Linked DNA regions of Chlamydomonas reinhardtii. The main gene of each other region encodes a partner of the protein of the gene in region 2 in a complex. Links are inferred from orthologs where the notes say so. Each region holds a gene or a part of one and is shown on either strand. Other genes may lie near its edges.

Region 1 (9,437 bases), on a different chromosome or scaffold from region 2:
TATCCCTGATCCAACACAAGAATGTGTGGAAACCATTGTGCTGTATCACGTGCCGCGCCAATATTCAGTCACACGGCCCGCCTGGGGGACGCCGTGCCCCAGCATCCCCGCCCCCAGCTGCGCCACAGCCGTGGCCTGCCTCAGCCAGTCAGCCTCCCCCAGCCCCTGGCCTGTCCTGGCCTCCCGCTCCCCCGCACGCCTGCACTGCACGGTACACGGTACACACAAGGCCACGGCCGTGGCTCCACGCAGCAACCCCCTTGCAACTGTCGCCTCTACCTGTGCTGATTGTGCTCCGCTGGTTTGGTTCAGTTTGGGCCGGTATTTACGCCGCCGCCGCTCCCGTCACTGGTTCCCACTCGCTCGTGGGTTTCTGGGAATACGCTGCACAGTACGGGACCACGCCGACCCGCCCCTTACCCTGCCTCATCGCCCCCACTCCCCACCCCAGCTCATCCACGACGCTGCCGCCGCCCTTTCCCCCGCTCATCTGGCCCCCTCCATCGTCCGCCACCGGCCCCCGCCCTCGATCGCCCCCTTTCCCGTCACGGCCAGCTCCCTCACTCGGCAGATCCACTCGTCCGCCTCACTCGGCCGCCTGCCCCACTCTGCCGCCTCACTCTGCCGCCTCACTCCTCCGCCTCACTCGGCCGCCTCGCTCTGCCGCCTCACTCCTCCACGTAGCGGCTCTTGCGCGAGCCCGTCAGCAGCCGCTGTCAGGCGGTGCGGGTGGAGGGGGGGGACGGGTGGGCGTGGGGGTCAGCGAAGGAGGTGGAGGCGGAATGGGCGCGCAGCTGTTGCAGTTAAAGTTCCCGCCCCATGAGTCACGGGAGGCATCGTTGAAAGCCGGGGGCCGATGGTATGCTCTCCCGACACGCAAACCATGTGCCGAGGATTCAGCAGTTTCTCTAGGGTCTTTCCCCGTACATGGGAAGGGCACACTCGGGTAGCCTGCCAAACCCGTCCGCCGGCGTGCGCCCGCCCTCAAACCCATGCCTTCCCCGCCCCCCAACCAGCCCCCTCCCCCGCCCCTCCGGCACAACCCTCCAGCCCACCACTCACCGCCGCCACCCGCTGCAGCGCCTTGCCCTGTGTGAGGAAGCGGATGTAGACCGGCTGTAGCGCGCCGGTCAGCGGGCTGGCGGCTGTAGCAGGCACGGCCCGGATGCGGGGGACCAGGAAGGAGGCCACGTCGGCGGCGGGCTCGGCTGTAGCGGGGGACCGGAGGAAGGGGGAAGGGAGGAAGGGGAGGAAGGAAGGGATGGGCAGCAGAGGGCCGGGTGAGTGGCGGTCCGCGATTGGTTGGACTACTTGCACTCCATTGCGCACGCCAATACACACACCTTTACACACCGTCTTGACATCTGATGCACCTACAAAGACATCCACCCACCCCGCCCCAACCCCCCCCACACACACACGCCCCACACGCACCCAGGCAGTTGATGAAGAACTTGGCGGTGGGCGTGTTGGCGCCCGCCATGAGCAGCTCGGTGGTGACCATGCCTGGCGACAGGTTGTGCACAGCCACATTCTTGATGCCCTGCGGGGGGTGGGGGGTGGGAGGCAGAAGGTGTGTGTGTGTGTGTGTGTGTGTGTGTGTGTGTGTGTGTGTGTGTGTGTGTGTATGTGACACGAAGGTTGAAAGGAGGCTTCCGTTCATCTAGCTGCGCGTAGTATGAAACCTCCTACAGCCTCGCGTACACAGGCCCCTCCTCTCCCCTCTCCCCTCTTCCCCCTGGCTCCCCCCCTCTCTCCTCTCTCCCCTCCCTCGTTCCTCCTCCCTCCCCTCTCACCAGCATGCCCAGCTCCGCGCTCAGGCTCTTGCCCAGCTGCGCCAGCGAGCGCTTGGTGGCGCCGTACGCGGCGAAGCGCGGCGTGGCGTTGCCGTCCGCGCCCGCGCCGTCCATGTTGAAGATGTGGCTACGTGGGGGGCGAGGGGGGTTGCAAGGATGTTTGGAAAAGCGGTACAGGATGCACTGAAGACTGCAGACGAAGTCGTTACCACATGAGCGGCCGTCCGGGCGGCCGCGCTCCAGGGGGGGGGGGAGTGGGGTTGTGTGTGGGGGTGGGGGTGTGGGGGTGGGGGGGGGGGGGTAGCCATTCATGTGAACGGTTCAGGGTGTCGGGTGGGTTGTCAACTCCAGCATAAGCTAAACCAAAGCAAACTCAGCTAGCGAGTTACAGGGGGAAAGGGGTACAGGGAACCAGAAGGCAGCACGCAGGCATGGGGCATTAAGGTTGACTGGTAAATCGCTCTGCATGTGCGTGCACGGTGGGCTAACCCGCGCGGTGGAAGCTGGCCGTGCCGGCGCCCCCTCCCCCGCTGCAGCTCACCCGTGCGTGCTCTGGCTGCGCATCACGCGGATGGCCTGCGGGCAGAGTACGACACACACACGCCGTACACGTACGCATACACAGCGTGGTTTGGCAGGTCCAAAGTCCACTCGAGCCCCCGCGCCCCGTGCTTTGTCTCGCCAAAGGCGGACAGCCAAAGGGAGGGATGGCGAGCAATGCTTCTGCATCCCCTGCCTTTTCCTTCCCCCCAGCTGCCCCCACCCCTAGCCGCCCTTGTCCCGTGCCTCCCTTCACTGGGGGTGGCCCATGTAAGCCTGATGTAAGCCCTTCCCATGTACCCTGTGCTCTGCTAGTTTGGCTTCTTGAGAGTGGGCTGGTATTTACATCCCGCCCATCCCACCCCCATCCCACCCCCCCTATCCCATCCACCCCATCCCACCCTCACCCCTCACCCCCCCACCCCACCTCCTTGCAGCACAGCATGACGCCCAGCACGTTGGTGCCCACGATCTGACTCAGCTCCTCGTCGGTGGACTCGGCCATGGGGCCGTAGCGGTAGGCGTTGGTGCCGGCGTTGTTGATCCTGGCGGGCGCAGGAGGCGGGAGGTGGAGGAGGTGGGGGTGGTGGAGGTGGGAGGTGGGGTTGAGAGGGCGTGTCGGCACAGGCGACAAGAGGGAGCGCCCTCCCCTCCAGGCAGGCAGGCAGGCAGGCGCTCCAGCACAGGCTCCGGTTCTCGACCCCCCCTCCCCCCCCCTCGTCTGCCCGCCTGCCCCCAGCCCTCCCCCAGCTCTCCCCCTCAGTACCAGATGTCCACGCGCCCGAGCTCCTGCGCCGCAAAGTCCGCCAGCTGCCGCGCCTGACCGGGGGCAGACACGTCCACCGCCAGACCCTGCAGGGGTGGCGGGTTCATAAGCCACGCACCGTTCATGTTTCCAAAAACACACATACATGCACACGTACCCAACGCGTTCCCCTCCCTTGCGCAATCAATCGGACCGCATGCATCCACACTCGGGGATGTCACGACCCGACAGCCCCGCATGCAGCCCCCCTGTGTTTCGCCCCCAAGTCTCCAACCCTCAACCCCCACCTGCCCCCAGCCGCTTCCGGTTCTAGTCCCTCCGTGGACGGCTATTCCCCCCTGGGATTTTATCATTGGGCCCAGATACATAAACCCTGTTGGGCTCGGGCATAGAATCCCGCTTCGTGCTCTGTGGGCTGGCTGGGCCTTGCTTTCGTCGGGGTTAAGAACAAACTACCTCCCCACCCCAGAATTAACTAACTTCCACCCCAGTGCTCCCACCCCCATGGACGGCAAACCTCCCGCCCTCCCCCCAAAACACCACCGCCCCCTCACCTTGACTCGGTCAGCGCCGTACTGCGCTGCCAGCTCAGCCACCGTCTCAGACACCCGGTCACCTTGGGTGCGGGTGTAGAGGCGAGAGCGCGCAGGTGGTGGTGGTGGTTGTGGTGGTCAGGTCGTGGTGGTGGCGGTGGTGGTGGGCCCACATGCACCCGTGCAGGCCCTGCAATAGCAGACCAGCGGACCGCCCGAGCTCCGGAAGCCCTCGACGACCGCCTATTCTTTCTTCACTCGTGGGATGGGCGAAAGTAACCCCCTTGCGTTCTGGGTTTTGGTGTCTTTGGGACTGGAATTAACTAACCCTGTGCACCTGTCGCCTGTGCCTGTACTGCGCTAGCTCAGTTTGGTTTGGTCTCCTCCTCGCTTTTTATCGTTGGTTTGGGTTTACGTTGGGTTGGTTTCCCACCCACCCACACCCCGCCTCACCGGTACGGCTGCAGACCACCACGCGGTCGCCCGCCCGCAGGAAGTCCTCGGCCAGCGCGCGGCCGATGCCTAGGGCAGGGGGGCAGCAGGCAGGGGAGAGCGGACTGGGTCCACACAGACACACAGCGATAATGCGCATCCTCAAGCCCACCCTGACAGCCCCTTCGCCACCTCGCCACCTCTCCGCCACCTTTCCCCCACCCGTCCGCCACGTCTCCACCATCACCCTCTGCAGCCCATTCGCCACCTCGCCACCGCTCCGCCCCCCGCCACCGTCACCCTCCCCAGCGACTGGGTCGCTCTCACCCTTGGTGGAGCCGGTGATAACCACGTTGTACGGCGCCTGGGGCGCAACCGCCTTGCCGCCACCGTTACCGTTGGTGGCGGTTGCGGGGGTGCCGTTGGCCGCGGCGGTTGGCTTCTCGGTCTGCTGGGTGGCCGCGCGCGTCACCGTGACGCTGCGGCGGGCGCGGCGTGCAGCCGCGCTCCCGCCCTGCGCAAGCCCGCGACGCGCGGGCGAGGCGCGGGCAAGTCCTGCGGCGCCGAAGCTGCTGGTGCTGGCGGGGCCGCCGCGTGCGCTAGCCGCAAGTGATGCCACAGCGTTGGGGTTGATGGCGCGAGCAGTTGACGCGTGAGCCTTCGCGGCAACGCCCGAGCGCTGCGATAGCATCATGGCTAACGGTACAATTGAAATGACGACTGGGTTGGATCGCTGGGGTGGTTGGTCACGCACGTAGAAGGAACAAACAAAGAGCGAGTAGAATCCAATAGAGGGCGTTGATAAGCAGACCGAGTGCGCCAAAACGTTACCACAAGTTCGTTTATAAGCCAACGAGTTGGCACGGTGAGGCAAGAAGCCCAGATGGCTGAGAGCGAGCGAAACCTGCATGATGCAATCGAGGGCCCCTGCTGTTCTGACCTTCCCTTCCTTTCCGTAAGCGCATTTGACATACTGCTTCTCATTTCTACCCGTTGCGGGAAGAAATAGCACGGGACAATACAACAAACCGCGTCCTCGGGAGTTTGCGTTTCCCAGACCTGCGATCCTCCCGACTGTTGATATTATTCAGCATTTACATACAATAAAAGCGATTAGTGCAAACTGCGTTGCAAGAGGAAAAACTTAACTTGCGCGCAGTGGAGGGATCTGTGAGCAGCACAGCGTCTCGCGCTCACCGGCTTGGTACGTGCGGCTTGTATCTTGGGAGGGTATGTTTGTGAGGCTGGCTGGGGTGAGCCATATCGCTATCATGCGTTGCCTTCCGCTCGGACACCTCTCCGGGCTCTCCGTCCATGCCCGCCGACCCTGACACTGCGCGACCGCCCGCCCGCATTCCTCCCGCCTGCACAAACGCGCCTCTTGCAGCCTCTGTGTGCGGCACAGCTACTACACAGGCCTGCCGCGGCACCACCGCTACGGAGCAAGGCGGCTTGTAGCGCCACACCCAGCTCTTTCCTTTGTTGGCACCACGGCACAGACCCCAGGCACTGCGCATCCATCTATAGCCGCGCACAGCCACACAGCACTACAGACTCACCAGCAGCAGCAATGGCGGCCGCGGGCGTGATGGAGCGCGTGGGAGCGGCCCTGGCGGCGGGCGACTACGGCGGCGTGTGCGGGCTGCTGGATGAGGCGGAGCTAGCCGCGCTGGCGCCCTGGGGCGCAGCTGCCGAGGGAGGAGGCGGCGGACCAGCCGCGGGCGGCGGAGCAGCGGGCGTCGCTGCAGGCGCCGACGGCGGCGCTGCTGCGCCCTGGCCTGCTGCGCTGCACCTGCTGTCGCACGTGTATGCGGGCAACCTGGCGGATGCGCGGCTGCTGCTCAAGCGCATGCCCGAGGGGGTCAGGGCCGACCCGCAGGTGGGCCGGCGGTGGTGGTGGTGGGGAGGTGGTACTGGTGGTGGTGGTGAGGAGCTGTCGGAGGCGGTGTGGAGGGGCTGGGGGTTGTTGGCACACTGCCCATGAGGCGGCTGGGCGGCTGGTGGTCTGTTGGGGGCGAGCTGGGGGGGGGGCTGGGGGGCTGGCGTGTGTGCATGCCCGGAATCCGTTCTTTGCTCCACAGCACTGAACTGGCGGGCAGGGCGAGCGAGGGGAGTTGGGCGTGGAGACGGCGGCGCAACCCAGTCCCTGCCATGATGGGCGGTCGAGAGCAGCGCCAGGGGCGGACAGAGTAGGGGCACGTGTTGCCGTCTCCAGCTTTGCACCGCCATGCGACGCCGCCTGTACTTCCTGTTGGCCAAAGCTCACGCGCCCGCAGGGCCTGTCTGCCCGCTCCTGTGCATCCCAACGCCCCTGTGCCCCCCTCACACGCCCCTGCCGCCCCCCCCGTGCGTGCACACACCCGCCTCCACCCCAGGTGGCTGCCGCGGCTCGGCTGCTGCAGTGCGCCTGGCAGGGCAGCGGCGAGGGCGTGTGGCGGGCACTGCGCGGCCACCCCTGGTCGGGGCCGGCGGGGCAGCTGGTGGAGGCGCTGGCGGAGCGGCTGCGCGCGAGGCAGCTGGACCTGGTGGAGCAGGCCTACAGGTGAGGGGGGGCGGCGGTTTTGGGGGGGGAAGGGTTTTGTGGCCGAGCCCAATAGGGGGACCAAGGCGGGGGGTGTAAATACCAGCCCAAAGCAAGTTGAACTAGCGGAGCACAGGCAGAGGCGACAAATGCAAGCGGGACTTCTTATGGGAGGGGGCCGAGGTGTCGTGGAGCAGCAGGGCGAGGGGCACCGCGGGAGGGGGGGGGGTCCTTTTCGCCATCCCCATGAGGGGGCGAATTTAGAGCGCAAACTGTGGTGGTCAGGCGGCTGTGGGCGCTTGGGGCGGGCTGGGGTAGGCTCGGAAGGTGTTGAGATAGGGGGAGGGGGAGGGGTGCAAACAGGGCGGCGAGGAGGGGTGTACGACGTGTTGTTGTCCGTTAATGTGGTGGTGAAGGCGTGTGGGCGGGTTGCCGTGCTGTGCTGCTGTGGCCGCTGGGCCGCTTGTGCACGAACGCCGGTGAGCCACCATCACAATGCACCGCTCACTGCTCACGTGCACTCCACATCTCTCACACGCGCCTCCCGTCCTGCCCATCGCCCCTCCCTCCCACCGCCGCAGCCACATCAGCGCGGCCCGTCTGGCGGCCCTGTGCGGCTGCGGCGAGGCCGACGCACTGGCGGCCGCCGCCGGCCGCGGCTGGCGGCCCGCTGCTGCTGCTGCTGCCGCTGGGGGCGAGGCGGGGGCTGCTGCTGCTGCTGCTACTGCAGTGGTTGTGGAGGTGGTTCCTCCTCCCTCGGGCCGGGGGGAGCTGGACACGCTGGCGGCGCTGGAGCAGCTGTCGGCAGTCATGATGCAGCTGGAGTAGGAGGGGGGCGGGGAGTATGGCGAGGGGGATTGAGGTGGGATGGGAGGAGGAGGGGTTCGGTTGGGCGGTGTGGAGGCAAGGAGCAGGAGCAGCAGTAGCGCGCGGGTGCTGGATGTGCGGAGGGCGAGGTGGAGATAGAGGCGTGGAGCTGCTGCAGCTGTGTTGCCCGGGCCGGCCTGGGGGAGCTGCCTGCAGGGGATGACGGGTGTCTAGGAAGCCCTAATGCTTGGATACGGCACGCAGGATGCGTGTGGGAGTGGTGATGTGTCGCTCCACAAAGCCACTGGTGCAGCGCCTGTGGGCGAGTCAAACGTTTGCGGACGAGTCGTGCGTGGCCTTGGGGGCGGTGTATGTGAGGTTGATCTGCAGTTGATGTGTGTGCAGGCATGGGGGGTATCGAGCGGGGGGCCGGGGTTGGTGCACTTGGGATGGGGGCTTTGGCAAATCTTGCGCGACCCTGGAAGGTGGCCCACTGTAGTCGGAAGAGAGCAAGCGACACAGCACCGTGTAGATTTAGCCAGCGGATGGCGGGGCGCCAGACCTCATCCGCAAGTAGTTGTGCTGACCGTCGCGCCGTGCCGATGGGCCAGGGGTGATCAGGCAAACCGTGTAGTTGATCCCGTCCATATGCTCCGTTTTCAGTTGCACATGGCATGAATTGCTATTCCCTATTGTAGAAAAAAATAGGCGGCAGGGAAAACTCGGCCGGAGCGAGAAGCGACCTCGCGAGTCCATGTACATGACTTGACTTTCGCGAGGTCGCGAGGTCGCGAGGTCGGGGTCTCCCTCGGGGTCTCCCTGATGGCGACCGCTGTCTATTCCTTGTGCAAACGTAAGGCTGCTAATGTTGACCATTCGCGGAAGCATGGTTTTTCGACCACCCAGTTTTTGCGCCTAAATCCACACCAGTTCTACTTACTTGTACTTGAGTGCACGGCAGTCAACAAGCAAGCAAGTCTTGGATACACCATAGATGAGCAGGGGGCCGGGGGGAAGGTTGGGGGTTGGGGGTGGGGGGAGAAGGACACGGAAACCCCATCTTGGCGTCTTTGCCTCTTTGGACCACCATGCCAAGCTCCCGTCAGCACTTGATCATAAAGCATACGTGTACCTGCAACATGCATTGCCACCCCTGTGGCACAGTTGACAATCAAGACAACCTTTGAGTTTGAACCATATTTAAACGATGGCATCAACCAACTCGCGTAGTACAGGCTCAATCAACGCAGGCCAGCCACGTGTGCTAAACCTCCTAGATGTGCTGCGACAGCTGGCCGTCAGCGCCGTGGACTGCATCTTTGACGAACTCGGTCGAGACGGACGCTCGAGCGCACGGCGCGCGTGCAAAGCGCTGCGCGGCTTTGTGGACGCCAACCTTCGCAGTGTAGAGCTCCACTTCTCATCTGAAGACGCCATGAAGTTGCGGCCTCGGCCCAGCTTCACCTCGCCTCTGGCGCGGTTCCGGCGCTGCAGCTGCTTGTCCATTATTTTTTGGGAAGGCGAGGAGGCCGGCGCGCATGACGTCATTCAGCACCCAGCGTTGCTGGCCTCCCTGTACATGGCCGGCGTGGGCGCCGATGTGGCGCGCAACATCACCGAGCTGCGTCTGGAGGGCCCCCTGGAGCTGCCCACGCTGGTCACTGTCGCGCTTGTGCTGGCGGGGACTCTGCGACACGTGCGCATACTAGCGCTCGATACGCAACTGTGCGGCATGGGCAGCTACAGCTTCAACAACATGCACGCTCTCCACACCACGCTGCGTGCCGCTTTCCCGGCGCTCGAGGAGCTCAACCTCCCCGCCAGGGCCTGCCTGCGCGGCCTAGAAGCATTCGCCGGCAGCCACCTACACACCGTGCGTGTCATGGCGGAGAGCCCCGGATCGCTGCGCATGTCGCACGTGCGCAGCCTGGTGCAGCTGCCGCAGCTCCTGCAGCTTGACCTGGACGGGGGGGACTGGGATGCATGCTGGTCCGGCGACAGCGATGACGATGTGTGGGATGATGAGAAAGCAGACAGCCCTG
Region 2 (9,555 bases):
TCATGTCGCATTCTAGAAGGAGGCTTTGACCAAATATACTCAATGCTGCAGAGCGGTGCTCCAGCGATGCCCCACCTCTGACATCACGACACACACTGCTTGCACTTGCAGGGCGAGCCTCGCCGCTGCTCCCGGCGGTGCCCCTGTGCTGCGCGCGCCGCTCCTGCGCCCGCTCTCGGCCACACCTGCCAACTCCTCCTCCTCCTCCGGCGCTTCCTCATCCGCATCCTCTTCCACGCTAGCACCCGACTGGCGCGAGCGCGCCAAGCCAATCCAGCCGGGCAGCAGCTACCCCGCGAAGGAGCACTGCTCCAACTGTGGGCTGTGCGACACGTACTATGTGGCGCACGTGAAAGACGCGTGTGCCTTCCTGGGGCCGGGTAGGGAGCTGAGGGGAGGGGTTCTGAGGAGGGGGGAGCAGGTAATGGGCAGGGGATGGCACCCGGGCAGGGTTGGGGGGAAGGGGGCGCGGAGAGATGGTGGTGTCGACAATTGGGGTACTGCGTTTTCTCAGACTCTGTCACCTGCCCCGACTCTTGACACAAGGTCATCCCTCCATGCAGGCATGTCGCGCATTGATGAGCTGGAGGAGCGCGTGCACGGCCGCCGCCGCGACGTCAACAGGTGGGGCTGTAGATGGGGTGGGGTGGGGTGGAGGGGGGGTTGTAAACACCAGCCCAAACCCAATGCAAACGAGCGAGGAGGAGAGCGTGGGGGAGCCGGGGTAGTCGCAAGCATTCCCACACACGGAGGAGTACTACATGTGCACTAGCGCGTGGCCGTGTGGTGTTGCGGTGTCGCGGCAACGCTCTAGCCGTGAAGCAATGCCTGCGCCATCGCCCGGTGGCGCTGCTCCTATGCTGGCTTGGACTCGTTGCCACGCCAAGCAAATGTCAACGTTTCACATTCCTCACATCACCCCAGGCTCCCAACACAAGTTCCATCGCACACACACACACACACACGCAACATTCGTAAACCGTCGCTTTGCTGCATCGCATACACTGACTTTGTGCAATGTTTTCCTTGTGCTTTTCAACACGCTCAACGCCGCCACTCAACACATACTCCCGCACCCCCCCCCCCCGCAGTGACGACGAGCTCCACTTTGGCGTCACGGCCCCGGGCGGCATGGCCTACGCTGCCAACGTGCCGGGCGTGCCGGGAGCGCAGTGGACCGGCATTGTGACTCAAGTGGGGGTTGGCTGGTGTAGATGGTGGGGTTGGTTGGATGGGTGGATAAGTGGGTGCCTGGGTTGGGATGGGGGTGGTGTTAAGGGAACAACGTCCGCGCCGTGGTCTTGGTATTGCATGGGGTCATGCGTGGGCAATGTCGTACTGATATGCCTCGGCGGGCCGCGCTCCCAACTACCTGTACCAACCGCCCCCACCGCCTCTGCTACTGCGATGCTGCTGCCGTACTGCCAACCGCTTGTCAACCCCTCGCTCCCGTACCCGCCGTACATACTTGCTGCCGCTGCCGTACCGTTACCCATGCAGATCGCCATCGAGATGCTCCAGAGCGGCAAGGTGGACGCGGTGGTGTGCGTGCAGAGCGACGAGAACGACAGGTGGGTGCGCAGGCGGTGGTGGGCGTGTGGGCGTGCCGAAGTGGGCAATGGATCGAATGAGTGACGATCCGAGCCATTCGGCTGTTCGATGGTTGACTTCGTGGCGCCTCGTGGAGCTTCAGAGAGATCAAGGACGCCTGGCCAATCTTGAGGGGCCCCACCGCTCATCCGGCTAAGTCGTCGGCTAACCCGGGGGGTGCGGGCCGCTCGTCCGGCTGGGCGAGCGACTCAGCGCGCTGAGCCCGCAGCCCCCTTCACTGGGCTGAAGCTCTCAGCAGCTGAGCCTTCCGCTCAGCGACCGGAGCTCGCTGAGAGCAGCCGAAACAGCCCGTGTGATCCCTCTACACGTTTGGTCCTGGCAGCGCCTCGACTCCTACTCCTACTCATACTCCTACTGCTCTTAACCTTCTTCTTCAGCCTCTCCGTTGTCAAAGCATAGGCCACGCTGTCCTCGTCGCCCGTTTGCATTGGGATTGCTGTAGGTTGGGACGGCATCTACAGCAGTACAGCCCCACTCCCAGCCCAACCGGCGCCATTCTCCCCCTGCTTGTCCTCCACTCCCGCAGGTTCACGCCAAAGCCCGTGGTGGCTCGCACCGTGGAAGACATCATCAAGGTGTGTGCCGTACATGTTTGTGCGTGGTGTACGTGTTTTTGAGCAAGCATAAAGTAAAGTGTGTGACACGTTTAGCAGGATGCACGAAGAGGAGTGTACGGCATGCCGTGCGTGTATGTGTGCGTGGGGGCCCACGTGGACGCATGCCACCCGTCAGGCCCCGCCAGGCCCCGTCTGCTGCTGACCCGCCCAACCCCACCCTAACCACATTCCAGCCGCCCCAACCATCCGACCAACCGCCCAACCGCCCCAACTGCCCAACCACCCCACACAGGCCCGCGGTGTGAAGCCCACCCTGTCGCCCAACCTAAACGTGCTGGCCACCGTGGAGGCGCTGCAGGTGGGGGTGTGAGGATGACAGGATGTGGTGGTGTGGGGGGGAGGCGCTGCAGGTGGGGGGAGGCGGCGGTGTGTGTGTGAGGAGGAGCTGCAGGTGGGGGAGGCGGTGTGAGGAGGTGGCGGCGTGTATTGGCGGTGTGTGTTCGCGCGAATGAGGCGGCCGAGCTGTGTGCTGCTGCACGCACGTGCGCGGGTTACTCGATCAAACTTGAGTAATGGCCTGAGCATTGGCAAGCTGACCTACGCCGCTGCCGTGCTCCGCTGCCGCCCTCCCCACCACTCGCGTTCCAACGCCTGATGTTTTTTCTTGCTGTCCCCTGATTCCCTGCTTGTATCCTGTTCCCAATGTTTTGTTTAACCTTGAACTCCCCACCCCGCAGGTCAAGAAGCTGCTCTTTATTGGCGTGGGGTGCCAGGTGTGTGTGTGGGGGGGGGGGCCCAGGGGCGCGCAGCACGATCCAACAATGCCACACGTCCCCTGTCACCCCATCCCTCCACCGCCCCTCCACCCCATCCCTCCACCGCCCCTCCACCCCACCCGAACCCCACCCCACCCCACCTGACCCCATCCTCCTCCCCTCCACCGCCCAGGTCCAAGCCCTTCGCTCCATCGAGCCGCACCTGGGGCTGGAGAAGCTGTACGTGCTGGGGACCAACTGCGTGGACAACGGGCCCAGGTGGGAGCTGGCGTGGCGCCTGTCGAAAGGCTTGGATTGGGGCAAGTTAAGGACACGTGTTGAGAACAGGGTCCAAGTGAGCCATCATCACGTGGGGCCAACGCCAACACCCATGATCACCTGTGAGCACCACTTTTCACTTTCCTACACACACACACACACACACACACACACACGTGCGCGCACACACACGCAGGGCTGGCTTTCGTTTCGTTTTTTAACACACATGTGCACACACACACACACACACACACACACACACGCAGGAAGGGCCTGGACAAGTTCCTCAAGGCCGCCAGCACGCGGCCCGACCAGGCCCTGCACTACGAATTCATGCAGGACTACAGGTGGGGAGTGTGGAAAGAGTGTGGGGAGTGTGCGGGCAGCAAGCGGGGGTGCGTTAGGTGTGTACGTGGGGTACGAGTGAGCCGTCCCAAGCCCCAGGGCGCAGCGGCGTGGTTGCAAAAGGAGGTGAGGCATCCCAGTCAAGTGCCCCTCCTGTAAATACACACACACACACACACACACACACACACACACACACACACACACACACACACAAAAGCACACCACTATAACACACAAGCACCCTCATCCCACACAAGCACGCACATCCCCCCCACACACATATATACATACACACGCACACACAGGGTTCACGTGAAGCACACGGACGGGTCGTTTGAGTACGTGCCGTACTTCTGTCTGCCCGCCAACGAGCTGAACGACGTCATCGCGCCCTCCTGCTACTCCTGCTTCGACTACCCCAACGCCTTGGCAGACATGGTGGTGAGAGAGTGGCGTGTGTGGTGGGCGGCATGAGGGGGAGAGGAGATGCGGGCAGGAGCTGTGGGGATGGTGACGGCTGTGTACGGTGCGCGTGTGTTTGTGTGTGAGGGCAGCAAAATGGACACGCCCTACAAGCTGAACTGAAGGCGTACCTGTGCGTGGAGCTTCTTGCATGTCGGCAAGTGTGTGGGTGTGGGTGTGGGTGTGGGTGTGGGTGTGGGTGTGAATGCGAGTGTGAGTCCGCAAGCCGGCTATGGCGTGTCCGGGTGTGTGTATGTGGCTCGTCGTACATCCTCGAAGCCCCGTGTTCCGCCCACCTGCCCTCCCGCCCCTCCCCCCTCCCTCCCGCGACAATTCCATGAATACTGCGACCTAACTCGTTGAGCTCGGGCCTAGAACTTCACATTTTATTAAGCAATCATGAATGTAACCCGCCCCCCCAGGTGGGCTACATGGGAGTTCCCTACCTGAACAAAGACATGACCTCACACCCCCAGGTGCGGGCTGGCGGGTGAAAACGCCGTGCGGCCCGCCAACTACTGCATTGTAATCATGCATAGATTGGAAGCTGTACTTCTGTTGTGATCGCCTGACGCCTGTTGTGAAGAGCAATCCACGTGCCAAAGACCCTGCCTCTTTTAACAATAACCTCAACTCCAAATTAATTAACACCTCCCGACAAACTCCACTGCGCAGTATGTGGTGGTCCGCAACGACCGCGGTAATGAGCTGTTGGACAGCGTGCGGCACCGACTGCAGGTGGGGTGGGCGTGAGGGCAGGAGTGGGAGTGGCGGTAGGAGCGCGCGCGTGCGGTGCAGGCATTGGCGCGCGGGTGTCAGGGTGGGGTTGCGGGCACGAAGGGCACTGAGTAAGGTACTCGGAGATCTCCCCCTCACCCTGAAGCACATGTTCAGTAGTCAGTACCCCTCCCCATGCCACGCTCCTTGCACCCCACGCAGATCACGCCCACCGTCTCCACAGGCGACCGCCGGGGCATTGTGATGCAGGTGCGTGCGCGTGCGGATGTGTATGTTGTGCTGCTTTACCTTGCAGTAAAAGGACTAGATAGCAGCTCACAGACCATCATTCCGCAACACGCCACTACGGTGTGTCTGTTAGAGAGCACAAGGGAAGGGAGCACAGCGCGCAGCACTGTGTACGCGATACCGTGCGACACTCGCGGCATTTCCGCTCGCATACATGTTTCTTTACTTGCACCTGTCCATGCGTGTACTTGCCATGCCCCCGCCCCCCCCCCCCCGCCGTTCGCCCGCACACACAGACGGTGGCCAGCGATGATGAGGCCAAGATGGGCCAGCTGCGGGACCCCGCGCCGCGCTGGCTGGGCAACATGCTGGCCTGGCTGCTCAACCTGATCGGGCCCAAGGTGGGGAGGGAGGGAAGGGCGAGTGAGGGAGGGAGGGTGAGGGCGAGTGGGAGTTACGTGGGAGCGGGTGGAACGGAGGGCGGGAGGGAGAGCGGGTGGGAGTGACGCGAGTGTGCGGGGAACCTGTAGGGCAGCGGGGGCATGACTCGAGCCTGTCAACATGTACGGGCAGCACTGCCGCTGCTGTCGCCCACCGCACATTCCTTCTGCGCCAGTCGTGTCTCCTGGCGTGTCTCCTGTCTTGTCTCCTGTCTTGATAGTTTAACGATGTTGTGCCCTGGCTGTGCTGTTTATCTGTTCCTGCGTCAGGGTCTGGAGTTCGGCAAGTACTCCATCGACTACCACTACATCAGGTGCGGGCGGGGCAGAGGAGTCGGGCGTGCGGCGGGAGGGGCGGCGGGCCCGGGCCGCCGCGGCTGGGTGTGGTGTAATGCGGGTCAGTGTGGGACTGCATGGCACAAACACACAGGCTCGGAGCCTCGCACAGCCTCATTGACGAAATTAGCTGACATGTCACTGTATCATTGATTACCGCATAAGGCCGCCCAAACGGAGTCAGCCGAGTCAACCGAGTCAACCGAGTCAACGCAACCAACCACGCAATCAACCGCCCCTGCCCCACGCGCCACACAGGAACTACTTGTACGTCAACCGCAAGTGGGGGGCCAAGCGCGCCGAGCAGCACATTCCCTCCTTCGCCAAGAAGATCGTGCAGCAGTACGACAAGGACGGGGCCGTGAGCAAGCGCATCAGCCTCAAGCCCAAGTTCTAGTCTATACTCGCATCATTGTGAATTAAGGTTATGAGTTGAGGTGGAGGCTGAGTCCCCGTCAGGGGCTTAAAATAGAGTTCTTTACAGTTTCGCTGGGTTGTGGCGGGGTACGGTGTGGGACACGGGTATGTGTGGGTTACTTATGGGGGCTGACCGGCGTGCCTTGTGGCAGAGGAATGAACTCGAAATTGCACGGCGCGGTGGAGGGAATAACGACACTCTACTCGAATCGATGCTCGCAGGATGGGGCCGAAATGCGCGTTGCATGGTGTTGAGGAGCGGTCATCGTACTGATAAGTAGCGGTTTGGCTCAGAGTAGTACCTATCTATTAGACCTCGTAATTGCAAGACAAGACGACGACGTGTAGAGTATTCTATAGGAAGCAGGCCGGATTGAGGTGCGTGCTTGCCATGGGCACCGTGGCACACTGGCACCAGCACCGGCACCGTGGTACCCACGCATACCATGCTTACTGACATTCCCGCAATTTAAACTCGGCACGCTACGTTTCCGGGGTGGGAAACCACGCCAGTCAAGATGCGTGGGCATGGCACCCCAAGATGCCTGGGCGGACCAGCCCCGCCAGTCGAGATACGTGGACATGCCGACATGGCTCCCCAAGATGCCTGCGCAGGGCTACCCCAGCAACCTCAGATGCGCGTGCGCGGGGGTCAGGTTGCCTCTGGAACTTAGCTGCCAGACCAGACCCCCCCGCCAGATGCCTGCGCTAGGCAACTTTCCCACCCTCCGTACGACATTGTTACCACACATGAGAGACAGTGAGCAAGTGAGGCAGTCTGCACCAAGGTCAGCACGCACGGGTCTGGCATCATTATCTGGCGGTGAGCGTGAGAGCTGCGTACGCATCTGAGGTTGGTTCCCAAAGGAGTAGTGGGAAGAGCAAGGGAAGACAAGCTGGGCTGGTCACGTGCTGCACTGCGCCGCACTGCGCTGCACTACCGTACTGCGCTGCACTGCAGTACTGCACAAGTGCACAGGAGGCAATAGAGTGCACATAGCCAAGCCCAGTACATCGTCCAGCTGCCCAGTACGTCTTCCTGGAGGGTCGGAGTGAGAGAGCTTGGTCGGCTGGTCGGTTACAACCATCACGACCAAGCCACGTATGCTCACTCTGCACAGGCTCTGCAGTCTGCACAGGCTCAGCAGATTCCCAGTCTCGCGAGTGAAGCCCGTTTCATAGCAGCTGCAATGCCGTAATCTTCACGCTGAGGTCGTACAGGTCGCCACAACTGCTGCAACCATAACTGCCGGTAGTGCGGTTACTACGAGCTGACAGTGCCACCACGTAGCGCAACTAGCCTGGTCAAATCGTCTAACAGAACAGCTTGGGGTTCGGCCAACTGTAGGGTACGTGTCCTTACCGTGCATCACTAACGAACCCGCCTCCACACCACATCACAACATGCGTGACAAAAGCAAAGCCGGCTGTCAATCAAACTCACACTGACGCCCTGAATGCCGGTCCAGCCAGGTAGGGGGGCCCGCAGCCCCGCAGCAGCAGCCCTGTCTAGCCAGACGCCGGCAGCCAATGTCGTAAACACTTCTCCTGGACCAAGCGGTGTCGTTAAGACCCAAATCTATACATCATACCGGCACACAAGATTCCCAAATATTCCTCGCAACAAGAAAAGTGTCTCCCAGAACGTGGGCTGCGTCCACTACTCGCCCGTCTGAGGCTGAAGGTTCCAAAAGTACGGTACCTCACCTCCCGGACATGACCAGGACAGTTCGTACAGGCACCGCCCGCGTTAGGCTGGTATATATGGTACTCGGCTTGCGTGTGTGGTAACAGCGTTGCGCCTTGGGCGCTTTACCCGCAACAGTCACATGTCCATCCATTCGCGCAGCTGCTCCTCGCAAACACACGCTTCACGGCACTTCATAAATGGCACATGAACAGAACGTCCCATCACATCACACAACATCACGCCGACCCACCAGGACTACACGCCCTCGGCGACACCGCCGGCGCCCTCGGCCGGCGCCCCGCCCACCACCTCCTCGGCCGCGGCGACCAGCTCCGCCAGCCAGTCTATGCGCGCGGGGGCATTCTTGTTTCCGTACCTCCTGCACCTGGCGAGCAGCTCCCTGAGAGCTGCATGCAGCCCAGGCGTCCACTGCACCTGCTCCTGCTGGCCTTGCCCGCCGCCCATACCCACAGCCCACTGCAGCTCCGCTATTACGGCAGTCCCACTACGTGCATCCTCAAACACCAGGCTCTCGACCAGCTCCTGCCTGGACGTCGCCACCAGGCCGTAGCGCACCAGCCAGTCCGCCGCCGCCCAGTTGCCGCCGCGCAACACCTGCCGGAACGCGCTGCAGGACAGCGGCTGCAGCGATGCAACAATGGAGCAGAGCGCGGGGGCGGGGGATAGGAATAGACCAGATGTTGCATAGGCAAAACGGAAGGCAGGGGATTATGGGCCTGTGCAATCACACCGCCGCCTGCTGGTGAATATATCTGCACTCAAGCAGGTCAACGCGGCGTGTCAGCTCTGCCATTGCCTACCCCACCCATCCCTCCACCCACCTCCGGCGCCTCCCCAGCAGCTGCGGTCAGCGCCGCCACCGCCCACTCCAGCGCCTCCTCGCTGCCGCCCTCCGCCACTGCCACCAGGTCGATGGCGCCGCCGCGCTGCAGGTACGGCGCGCAGTGGCACATACCGACATACGGTACACATCCTATTACGGTAGCTCATTTGTTAGTAGCTGATGTGGCAACAGTGACCAGTTGTGTCTGCACAACCCACATGACCAACGAATTCACACATGCCACACACCTGCTCGTGCAGGTGCTGCAGCAGTGGCAGGTCAGCACCACTCCTTGCTGCGTTTTGAAACAGGGACGACCAGTCCTTATCAGCACCGCCCTGCTGCACAGCGCCGGGCTCCTCCAGGAGCAGGTAGCGCAGAGACCTCAGCATGTTGGTCCGTGCTAGGTCCTCATTGCGGCTGCGTACGTTTCTGCAAGACACTGCCAGCACCGCCGCAAGGTCGCGAGGCGCCGGGAAGACGTGGCCGCGCTCTCGCAGCAGCCGCAGCACAGGCACGTGACCGCGCTCGAATGCCACTGCTGCGATGGGGATCAGAGGTGGCACCACCAGCCGCCACTGCAGTGGCGGCTGTTGCTGCGGCGCCGGTACGCCCGCTGCAGCCGCCGGCCCACCGCCAGCGGCCGGCACCGCCTGCTGCCGCAGCAGAGCAGGCAGCTGGTCGAGACAGAACTCCACCGCGGCAGTGCTGCCAATGGTGCCGGCCGCCTCAGGCGCATACCTATCTATCATGTCCCGCAGGCGGTAAGACGCCAGCAGCTGCAGCCGCTGCGGAAAGTCGGGGCGCCTCATAATGTTGGACACCCGCTCGTCGATACCCTCGACGTGGC

Evidence for each region.
Region 1: CHLRE_11g468700v5 (region 2) and CHLRE_14g608800v5 share a complex: the UniProt entries of both Arabidopsis thaliana proteins name them as parts of the SGR1-CCE-LHCII complex. The link is inferred for Chlamydomonas reinhardtii from reciprocal best matches to the Arabidopsis thaliana genes HCAR and NOL.

What each region holds. Positions count from the first base shown.
Region 1 is NC_057017.1:173,709-183,145, forward strand, and holds the start of CHLRE_14g608800v5 (uncharacterized protein), read right to left. Parts: upstream 4,900-9,437; 5' UTR 4,762-4,899; coding exon 4,395-4,761; intron 4,158-4,394; coding exon 4,089-4,157; intron 3,719-4,088; coding exon 3,657-3,718; intron 3,189-3,656; coding exon 3,103-3,188; intron 2,882-3,102; coding exon 2,764-2,881; intron 2,373-2,763; coding exon 2,338-2,372; intron 1,924-2,337; coding exon 1,797-1,923; intron 1,544-1,796; coding exon 1,435-1,543; intron 1,209-1,434; coding exon 1,063-1,208; intron 714-1,062; coding exon 669-713; 3' UTR 1-668. Other genes in the region: CHLRE_14g608850v5 (uncharacterized protein), read left to right, coding at 5,638-5,946, 6,443-6,609, 7,170-7,416; CHLRE_14g608900v5 (uncharacterized protein), read left to right, coding at 8,831-9,437. UniProt on the Arabidopsis thaliana protein: Required for chlorophyll b degradation. Chlorophyll b, chlorophyllide b, pheophorbide b and pheophytin b can be used as substrates. Belongs to the chlorophyll catabolic enzymes (CCEs).
Region 2 is NC_057014.1:2,054,680-2,064,234, reverse strand, and holds the end of CHLRE_11g468700v5 (uncharacterized protein), read left to right. Parts: intron 1-111; coding exon 112-380; intron 381-563; coding exon 564-624; intron 625-1,091; coding exon 1,092-1,194; intron 1,195-1,500; coding exon 1,501-1,571; intron 1,572-2,137; coding exon 2,138-2,186; intron 2,187-2,460; coding exon 2,461-2,526; intron 2,527-2,905; coding exon 2,906-2,941; intron 2,942-3,116; coding exon 3,117-3,202; intron 3,203-3,468; coding exon 3,469-3,549; intron 3,550-3,855; coding exon 3,856-3,991; intron 3,992-4,434; coding exon 4,435-4,488; intron 4,489-4,687; coding exon 4,688-4,750; intron 4,751-4,951; coding exon 4,952-4,999; intron 5,000-5,274; coding exon 5,275-5,379; intron 5,380-5,688; coding exon 5,689-5,732; intron 5,733-6,012; coding exon 6,013-6,151; 3' UTR 6,152-6,645; downstream 6,646-9,555. Other genes in the region: CHLRE_11g468650v5 (uncharacterized protein), read right to left, coding at 8,117-8,503, 8,704-8,808, 8,954-9,555. UniProt on the Arabidopsis thaliana protein: Probable iron-sulfur flavoprotein that converts 7-hydroxymethyl chlorophyll a to chlorophyll a using ferredoxin as a reducing equivalent. Catalyzes the reduction of a hydroxymethyl group to a methyl group. Belongs to the chlorophyll catabolic enzymes (CCEs).